Neodiprion lecontei: one gene and its partner. The protein of the gene in region 2 interacts with the protein of the main gene of each other region in a pairwise test. Links are inferred from orthologs where the notes say so. Each region holds a gene or a part of one and is shown on either strand. Other genes may lie near its edges.

Region 1 (4,646 bases), on a different chromosome or scaffold from region 2:
CAAAGATTTCAAAGCTCCACACACTGTGTACATCGGACATCAAGAGCTGTTCACCCTTCGAGTAGATCACTAAAACTTCATACTTCAATCTGATCTACCATTTCTAACGATAATGAGCCTTCCTGATTTACTCTAGTCAGTTCTATTTTCAATTCTGTTAGTCGGCGGATGGATTTTACTTCATCTTTCGCTTTTTCACATATACTTTGTTAAGACGTGATTCAAAGATATTTTATACTCTTATTTTTTAGTTTTCTAGTTCTTCACTTTACTCTAGTTATTCATATTCGCCGGTGTGACTGAATATCTTATACCTGACTTGAAAAATGATATCAACAATTGAAATTTCATATTCCAGTTCCGTTCACCATTTCCAACAATGAGTAGGTGTTTCAAATTTTTTCTTAACTTTACTTTTGTAAATTCGTATCCGCGACTGAGACTGCAAATCTACTTTGCTTGATAAATAAACACAATCTAATAATCAAACTTCATATTTGAGTTCACCAAACTTCTACGACCTTTCTTATTTATTAAGACTTTAGATATTTGAAACTTGTTTGATACCCTTCATTCGATGATTATTAACGTGTGTAGCTCATTGTCAGATAATCCAGCCATGTACGTAAATATTTTGCAGTTAGAAACCTCATTATTTTTCGAAAGCAATGCCAACGATTTAGATATTCTTCTAAAAAAATGCAAAGTACAACAAAAGCTCCAAAATTTTTTATTTCATCCCTAATCCACTATTTTCGTAATTTCTTATTTTTAAAAAGTTGCGTACTTAACAGTAAGGATTGATTTCAATATTTTCTGTACGTAAAGGTATCTTTGTCAGAATTTATTTCATCATTTTTCGAAATAAATCTTTGTGATTTATTATTTTGGTGGTTCTCGAATCGCAAAGTAAATTTTTGTCGGTGTTTTCACTCCAATGTTTGTATCTACATACTTAGCGCAAGGTTTTAGCACCTGAGTTGTTTTGGGGGATAGTAGTTATTACGATGATTTATTTATATCTACGTATTCTACAGTTACATATAAACATTTGTAAAGTAAATTTTGTTACACAGACAAATCTCATGTAAAGACAATGTTACAATCTGGCAAAGACTTGGTAAGCTTTTCTATAACTTCACTTTTATTCTTCACTTGCGGCAAATTTCCAAGCTTCAGTTTCTTCAACTTTCTGAAAACGAAAAAATAAATGAATTCTCAGTATTCCAGATCATATTAGATCCAACTCATGTGATATAAGGGTTAATTCTTTCTTTTCTTGTAACTGACGAGCATTGATAAATACTTGGGGTGAAGAAAATAGGATTCACAATTATGAAGGTACAATAAAAAAAATCATGGGATGTTTTCTACAAAAAATAGGATTACAAGAGATCAATTTCGGCATAATTTGAAGTAAAGTGAATACATACGTGAGTTTATTCAGATCGAATAGAGCCTTCTCGGAAATATTAAGGCAGTTACTTATCTCAAGATGCTTCAAGGTATTTTTGAGTATAGAAAGTAGGGGAATTGCTGGATCCTCGACGTAAACACAGTTGACTAGCTTGACTTCATTTATGTAATTGCATCCGTCTAAATTTCAATAAGATCACATAGTGTCGAATAAAATGATAAATTTCATTACAATTAAACATAAGTGCTCTTACTTCCTGCATAAGTGGAATATGTTCACCATAGTGAAACAGAAAGAAAAATAATTCCCAAGTCATAGCCTTGGAAACCTGTATTGAAGCAATCGTCAAATATTGATTAACTTACTGAAATGTGGAAATCCATGATAGCTAATAGCAGAATTGGTAGCATCAACTGCTTCAATATGTTTCTGAGGTTCTTCCAACGAAGAAAGAGCATTGTAGTCTGAAAGAATACTTCCATCCTCTCTCCATTTGACTGCAGCTCCATTTCTTAATAGCCATTCCGCACAGGCTCGGTCTGGACCAACTTCCTTAACTCGATTTTCATCCACCCTTTAAATAACCAGTTCTTGAGACTCAACTATATGTCATTCTCTCAAGGTAAACATTCAGCACCACGATAATTTGGCTATAAAAGAAAATTCCATTGAATGTATCGATTGATACGTAAAAAAAGTTATTGATGGACGCTTACATTGCTAACATGTCTTCTTTGAAATCTATCAAATATATGCTGTATAATACTTCCATGCATTACCTCATAACATATTCATTTATAAATGATTAAAGACTTGAGTAATAGTTGTTGATGTCTCTACCTGTTGAACATGATTGTAATCCAATAAAAAAACGATCTATGAGATTTCGACTGTGCTGGAATCAGCGATGAACGAAAGTTCTTTATGATCTGAAACATACACATATGGCACCCAGTACAGAAAAAAACAATAAAATGTGTCGTGCCAAATTAAGCCCAACAGTAATTAAGTAGTCTTGTCAAGCTAAAATATAGGTTGAACAATAATACATGCAACATATGAAATAAAAGAAAACTCATTATATATACATATATATATATATATATATATATATATATATATATATATATATATATATATATATATATATATATATATATAATAAAATTATGCGCAAAAAATCGTTTGTCGCAGTCAGCATGATAAAAATCCCGGTACATTGACAGTCTTTTATTTTATCAAAAACCAAAGCGCTTCATACCGCGTGTGTTGCCATTGTGCTCGTACTTTGTTGACAACTCTAAATATCTTATTTGCAAAATATTTACGTATGTCGATTTTTATTTATCGCAATTATATTTTCCGGTGAATGTAGCTTTTTGTATGCGACAGAACGAAATTCAGAGACTGAGACGAACGCAAGATTGACAATTGACTGCAATGCCCGGCGTATTCGAGAAGCGTAACGTTGTCGATAATCGACCCGAATGGGCGGGAAATCTGTTTGAGAATTTCAAATTCAAGTAATTGTGAGATTTATAAATCTAATAATAGTGTTTTTCGATACTAGTGCGCGAAGGTGGCAATGCCCGCACAAGCGTGAAGGCGCCACACTCGCCCTTCAACTCGTCTACGGTTCGTCTTCGACTCACCTCCAACTCGTCTCCGGGCTCGTGCTGCGCCTTCACGCTTGTGCGGGCATTGCCACCTTCGCGCACTAGTATCGAACTCTATTTTTTTCTACACCTGTAATGGAAAGTCCGACATACACGATTATATTTACACGAAACCACGGCAAGATGTCTGTTCAGTGACGATGTCGAGCACGGCAAAGAGTGACAAACCATTCCGTCGTTGGCGCTAGTGCAGCTGTTTACGAAATGCGCAACTATGGATAAAAGTGCGACCGTCTTTTTCGCATACCGCTAGCAATGTGCGAAGGTTTATCTTATACCGCCGGCAATGTGCGAAAGTTTTTCCCGCACAAGTGTATAAAAGACTACTTTCGGTGCTTGTAAATGGTACATAAAAATGGACTCTCCATGCAGGTGTTGCAAAAAATCTGTTTCTTCTTCAATTTTTTATTCTTCAAATATCTATGCCAAGATTATGATAAATTAGATTCAAATCACCATGATTCTAACTGTTCGTAATTAGAATCAAGCGCATCCTTTTTTGTTCATCTAACAAGTGTCAAGATACTTCATCAATGATGGAAATGTATTTACCATGTTTCCAACGGCGTTGACTGAAGTAAATAAGCGCTGACGGTGTCGTTTACAATGTTCTAGAGAAGTTTTACAAATAATTCCTTATCAGGCAGTGACGCTAGTGAGATCATTTTGCATTATTCAGGTCTACAATGAAAACAAAGAGGCAGGGAATACAAGGCAGCTCGGTTCGATCTCGCTTTTATTTTTATTAGAACCAGGACAGGAGTTCGTAATTTACATGATTGGAATATGATTTTTGAGGATAAAATAACACCTAATTTTTGATTTGTTGAAATACGGTATGCAAATAATAATAATAATCCAGGCACATTGACAAATGCATCGAAACATACAAGTGCCGTTAGATGTGCTGTTTAAAGTGGGGAAATTGTTATTAGTAACGAAATGATAGCAATAGTGAGAAAAGATAGTGAGCACATTATGTTACACTATGTAGTCTTGATCATCATAAAATAACTTTTTTGTAAGGACATAATTTTACTGAAGCAGTCACTGTGACCTGCGTATTTCTCATTTACCGTTTTTATTGGGAACGAAAAATTCAATTTTTTTTTCAACACATATATATATATATATATATATATATAAAGTTTATCACAATGCCAGGAAAATATATCATCGCTAAAGAGATTCGAAAATGCAACATTCGCCTCAATCTGAAAATGTCTCTCGTTAATTACTGTGCCAAAGCCAAGATTCATCCGAAGTTAATAATAAATAATTCAGTGTGTTTACAATGAAATCATAATACTTTTAGTTTATATGTACTTTTCTCTCTGCAATGACAATCTTATTTACTTTTTCGTAAGATTGATTAAAATATACATCCATTTATTACAGTTATTATGTATGTAACATATATAAATTTATATTTTACTGTCGAGACATGTGCTGTTTTCCATATTCAGTATCATGACAGTTTCTATCTTGCAGTGCAACCATTCCAGTGTTACTTGATCCTCGCTTTCAATATACCAATCCGTTGCCTGTGAATT
Region 2 (4,939 bases):
TCTGAATCGGAAGAAAACAGCAGCGCCTCATCCAACTCTGATTCCGACACACGTCCACCTTTTCGGCATGCAAGTAGAAGTGTGTTATCTAGACTTGTCCAGTATACTTTTTACTCTGTGATAAATACAGGTGTGGTGATGGACCAAGGTGTGACGGCTGCTGCGGTATTATATTTACCCATTCTTTTCACTTTCAAATTTTTCCAAACTGTTGCTGTGACCACTTTTGACTCATATTTTTCAAAAACTAAGATGTATAAAAGATTCAGGATGAAAATGATAAATTTTTTCTAAGAAGCACAATTGGATTGGTACCGTAATAAAATCGTATACCTAATTTATATTGTCAAGATATTTCTGTCCGAATTGATAAAAGGAATGTTTATGCTTTCACAGCTTTGCAGATCATTTCTCGCTCTCTATCTAAAGCTAGACGAAAGCAACGTTCATTCGAGTCTGGTTGATTCATGGGATAGAGCAGGGTAAGGTTCTGATAATAATTAACCTGTTTGTATGCTAACGAGTGAACAGTTTCAAGTTTTGTAACAACATACAACGACAGAACAATTTGGTATTGCCAGTATGTATGATACATAATACGTATGATTGAAATCCCTCAAATAAAAAAACTATGCTTATAACCTGATATTATTTTTGTTCCCATTTAAATTCCTATTTATCAATACTCAAATATGGTGTTCCTTGCATTCAAATAGTTGAATATCACCTGTTTTTATCACACTAGCAGCGCTTCTATCGATTCACAGTAACTGAAGTCATGCCTGTTCTATCAGATCTCTTAAGCGATATTGAGGGGTTATTATATGTTTTATTTTCATTCTAGACAGAAGATAACAGTGTTGAAAGGGTATAATCACAAACACCTCGTATACCTGGCAAAGAAAGTACGTCATGTAGCTGTTGAATCAAACACTTTATACAGAACAACTGGTCAGGCCAGAGTAATGCTGGTACTAACAGCGTTTGGCCGAGAGGAAGATATGGAAGAAGCATTTGACGATCTGTGTTACTTACATTGACGTCCATGTAAACAACTTGATTTGTCGGCATAGATGTAGCGGGCAACTTCACTGCCACAACGTGACATATCTCTTTGACCGTGTGTGGCTTATACTGTGTGTCAAGTCATTAGAAGCTATGTTACTTATTTAAAGAGCCTCAAAGTCGTTTTGGACAGAAATTCAAGTCTAACAAATATTTTGAATAAATAATAACGAATCAATACAGGGTTGCACATATCACGGTTTATAAATTCGTCTCTGTTTTTGTTTTTCCTAGTTTTTCTTACCGCAACGTAAACGCAACAGCTGAAGTATATCTTGTTCTAACACTAGTCTTTCAAGCATTACGAATTCACAGCAGCGAATCCGTATACGTACCTAACCATTTGTCGCTCAAGTAGAGCTAAGTAACTAATTTTAATATTATCAAGTTGTTGTCAAATATGCGTACTTATACTTATGCATAGACGGTATCACGTACAGAGTCGGGAGCTTTTCTACGCTTGTTTGCATCGTTGATGGGAAAATATTGTCAATTAACACGTATGCGGTGTTTGACATATTCCGCGATGAATTTTGAATTCGTCCGTGATACGAGCAGGGCTCACCGTGGGTCGAGAAGGCAGTGAGACACGCCCCACCACGTCGATTTTGTCGGCAGTCCGCTTGCGCGCGCTCCGCGCGTTGCGTAGACGACGGCAGGCGCCCAGGTTTCGGTGCCGAAACGTCGCGCAGCCGCCCTGCGCCCGCCGTGTTTTATGCAACCAGTTTTGCGTCGGAGCAACGGGTTGGTTGGTGTGGTTGGGTGTCGAGCGCTGCAGCGTTCGGCGGAGAGCAGCGGGGTTGTCAGAAAGGCGTGTGCTATCTGTCACGGTCCTAGTAGCAAGTAGGATTGCTGTCAAAACGTCAGTGAATGGAGGCGCGTGTCCTCCGGCCATTTTCGTAGTTTCAAAACCGCCTGACAAAAGTGTGAATTCCGCATTGTGCTAAAAGGCGGTGTTTGCGTGTGCGCTCTCGCTGCGTTTTGCCCCCTTGTGCTCTCCGTGCCGAGGGTGGAAAAATAGGTTGGTGTACGTGATAAGTGACAGTGAAACGAAGTAACGGACGAACGAACGAACAAACGGCTCGCGCCGAACGACCAGCCTACGATCGCTGCCAACTACCGTAGGACCAGACTCCGCGAGGAGGCGAGGCGAGGCGAGGCGAACGCCGTGGGCCACTGCCCCCTCCTCCCCCCCCCCATTCTGCTACTACCACGCCGTGTTGAACGGAGGCAGCGGGCTTGTCGGCCGGCATAGACGAAGTCATGGCAGAGGATGAGGTCTTGTTCGACGATGTTTACGAGCTCTGTGAGATTATCGGAAAGTGAGTAAACTCGGGACTCTTGATTCTCATCGGAACGAATAGAGAATATTCTACTCCCTCACATTAACCTAGTAACGGTCAACGGTTCGAATGTTTGTCCGCTGACACACTGCGAGCGTTTTCGTGTCCACGATTGTATTTTGTTTTTCAACTTTTCAGGTGTTTACTACACTCTTTACCCGCCGAACGAATTTCGGTCGGTATTCGAATGCGATACCGAAATTTCGAATAGGCACACTTCTATTATCATTGTTTATAATTTTGTCACACTTGAACCTAACCTGATTGACGGGCGTTTCGTCAGCGTGATCTCACATTTCCAGGTATACGTGTCGACGACGCACACACGGGTGTTTACCTACTCTTCGAAATGCTTATTACGGGAGTATGTGTGGATAGCCTGACTTATATCAGGTGTAGTTGGCCATCTTGTGTTTACTTCAGCCCGCCAAATTCAATTATCCGTTATCAAGACTAGTTTATTTTCTCTCTATCACCGTCAACTTCAAAGTGGAAACGATAACCTCAGTCTTCTATTTTCCAACGACATTTTAACGAGCAGTTGGAATTTGCTCGTTTTAAACTTGGTACTATAAATTCCAGGTTCACTGATCGTCTCCTTTGCATGTTACACAGGTGAAATTTGTCCGGAACTATGTAAGCGCGCGTCAGGGTTTCGATCTAGCGTATTATCTTCAACTTCTATTTCATTCTTTGAAAATTAGCATAGGCAGATTATTTCATGCATATAGACATACCTAGTCCACAGTACCTTTATTCACGTACATAGGTATATTATTATACATACACGGACTCATATGCTTGCATGTATGTATCAGGTCGGGAGACGGGAATGTGTTTGATATCGATTATTTTGTCCCGAAATATATCCACCGAACAGGAAAGGGGAAACGAATATGAAAAACTTTTGTATTACCACATATGCCAGTCCTTGGGTTTTACCGTTTCCGAGTCAAAGTTCAACCATAAAGTTTTCTACAGATTAAAGCCCAAGCATAATGTTTTAGACGAGTATCAGGCAACACGTGACGGACGAACAAAATGTTATACACCAACGATTGCCAGGAAAGTAAACTGTGACGGACCTTTTACTCTTCTTACCTGAACGTCACAGCGTTAAAATGCGCCACGAAAAAGTTAACAGTCCTTGACGTGAGTTGACAGTTGAATTTATGGTACGACCGTCGAGTTGAGCTTACTCTGGGTCTTTGTTGGTCTACATTGGACTCTTATTCAAACAATCCTGTGAACAATTCTTAATCTCCCAAACTAGATTGAGCTGTGGCGCTGTGGATGCACTCTCTAAATATGAATTAGTTATAAGTATACCACTGGAGAAAATCATTGTGCATACACTGGAAGTCAATGACACATTATCAGGCTGAAATTGGTGACGTAACAAAACCTTAGGCTAACAAGTCGACATTATCGGGCAATTTAAAAATGACTTTCAAGGAGTTGGCTATTCAAAATTAAAGTATATTTTGTTTGTAATAGTTTACTAAGTCTCAGGCATTCTTAAAAATGCGGATTAGCGATTTTTCTTGAACATGCATCATTACAGTAACGTTAATAACTTCACCCTGTGAAGTATTAGTAAAAACTCACTGAATCGTCAGTGCATATGTACTGATTTTTTCCAGTCGTATACTTATGATTGGGAATCAGCGAATTTTCACTGATTCAAATCCAGAGAGTGGGCTCGGCAGAACTACACTCACGAGCAGGTATAAGGGTTTTATTATCGAAAGAAATTTGTGCACTACGCAGTAGTATCTGTATTACTTCATAAATCTTTTAAGCATTTTATGATTTAATGACAGAGAATATTCGTCGTGTGCGTTGAAACTGTACGACCGTTGCATGTGAGTTACATGAATACTTGAATGGTTCGAGTCAATTTGCTGTTCGTCAATTGAAACTAACCTTTAGCTGGTCATACCTAACATACCTTGCGGTCATTTGTGACGTAAAGGTTTGTAATCTTTAGCTGGCACATTTATCTGGTCTAACATTGCTGGTACCTTGGGTCGACTGTAAAATTTAAAATTATTCTTGGGATCTTTTTTATCTTGTAAAAGACACTTAGGTGAATACTCAAAAAAAATAAAGTTCACATATTAAGTTGCTTCATTACAGCAATCAATTTTCGATCGGAGTCTTCAATGACCCCAAGGTGCCAGCAATGTTATACCAGATAAAGGTGTCAGCTAAAGATTGAGTGAACACACGTTAGATATGCAGATCCAGTTAGACGCAATCGACGAACGTTTCTTTATACTTGGTCTATTTTTTTTTGTTCTCCTTAGAACGGTTCGTTCCATCGATCGGTAATGCGGTTCAGAGTCTAATGATAAGTCAACCAATTTGATCTTCAACCTTCGGTATAACTGGGTACCTACAATTATATATTTGATCATATTAATACATTGCTCGGCTTACTTTATTCCTCCCACTCAGGGCTGTCCTACACTTTTGCGGTTTAGTTGTTCAAATCCATTTTTTTCGTCTCGAAAATTATAAATATAAAA

What was found. The genes of interacting proteins can lie anywhere in the genome.
Region 1: the proteins of peripheral plasma membrane protein CASK (region 2) and ATP synthase subunit s, mitochondrial interact in a two-hybrid assay, tested with the Caenorhabditis elegans proteins (3 studies listed by BioGRID). The link is inferred for Neodiprion lecontei from reciprocal best matches to the Caenorhabditis elegans genes lin-2 and C05C8.1.

What each region holds. Positions count from the first base shown.
Region 1 is NC_060263.1:27,341,333-27,345,978, reverse strand, and holds ATP synthase subunit s, mitochondrial, read right to left. Parts: upstream 3,002-4,646; 5' UTR 2,694-3,001; coding exon 2,679-2,693; intron 2,347-2,678; coding exon 2,258-2,346; intron 1,992-2,257; coding exon 1,783-1,991; intron 1,597-1,782; coding exon 1,434-1,596; intron 1,193-1,433; coding exon 1,084-1,192; 3' UTR 714-1,083; downstream 1-713. Other genes in the region: vacuolar protein sorting-associated protein 13C, read right to left, coding at 4,518-4,646.
Region 2 is NC_060262.1:31,566,703-31,571,641, forward strand, and holds the start of peripheral plasma membrane protein CASK, read left to right. Parts: upstream 1-1,859; 5' UTR 1,860-2,328; coding exon 2,329-2,387; intron 2,388-4,939. Other genes in the region: uncharacterized protein LOC107218162, read left to right, coding at 1-165, 397-482, 845-1,040. UniProt on the Caenorhabditis elegans protein: May play a structural role in the induction of the vulva. May be required for the localization of signal transduction molecules (such as let-23 receptor) to either the basal membrane domain or the cell junctions.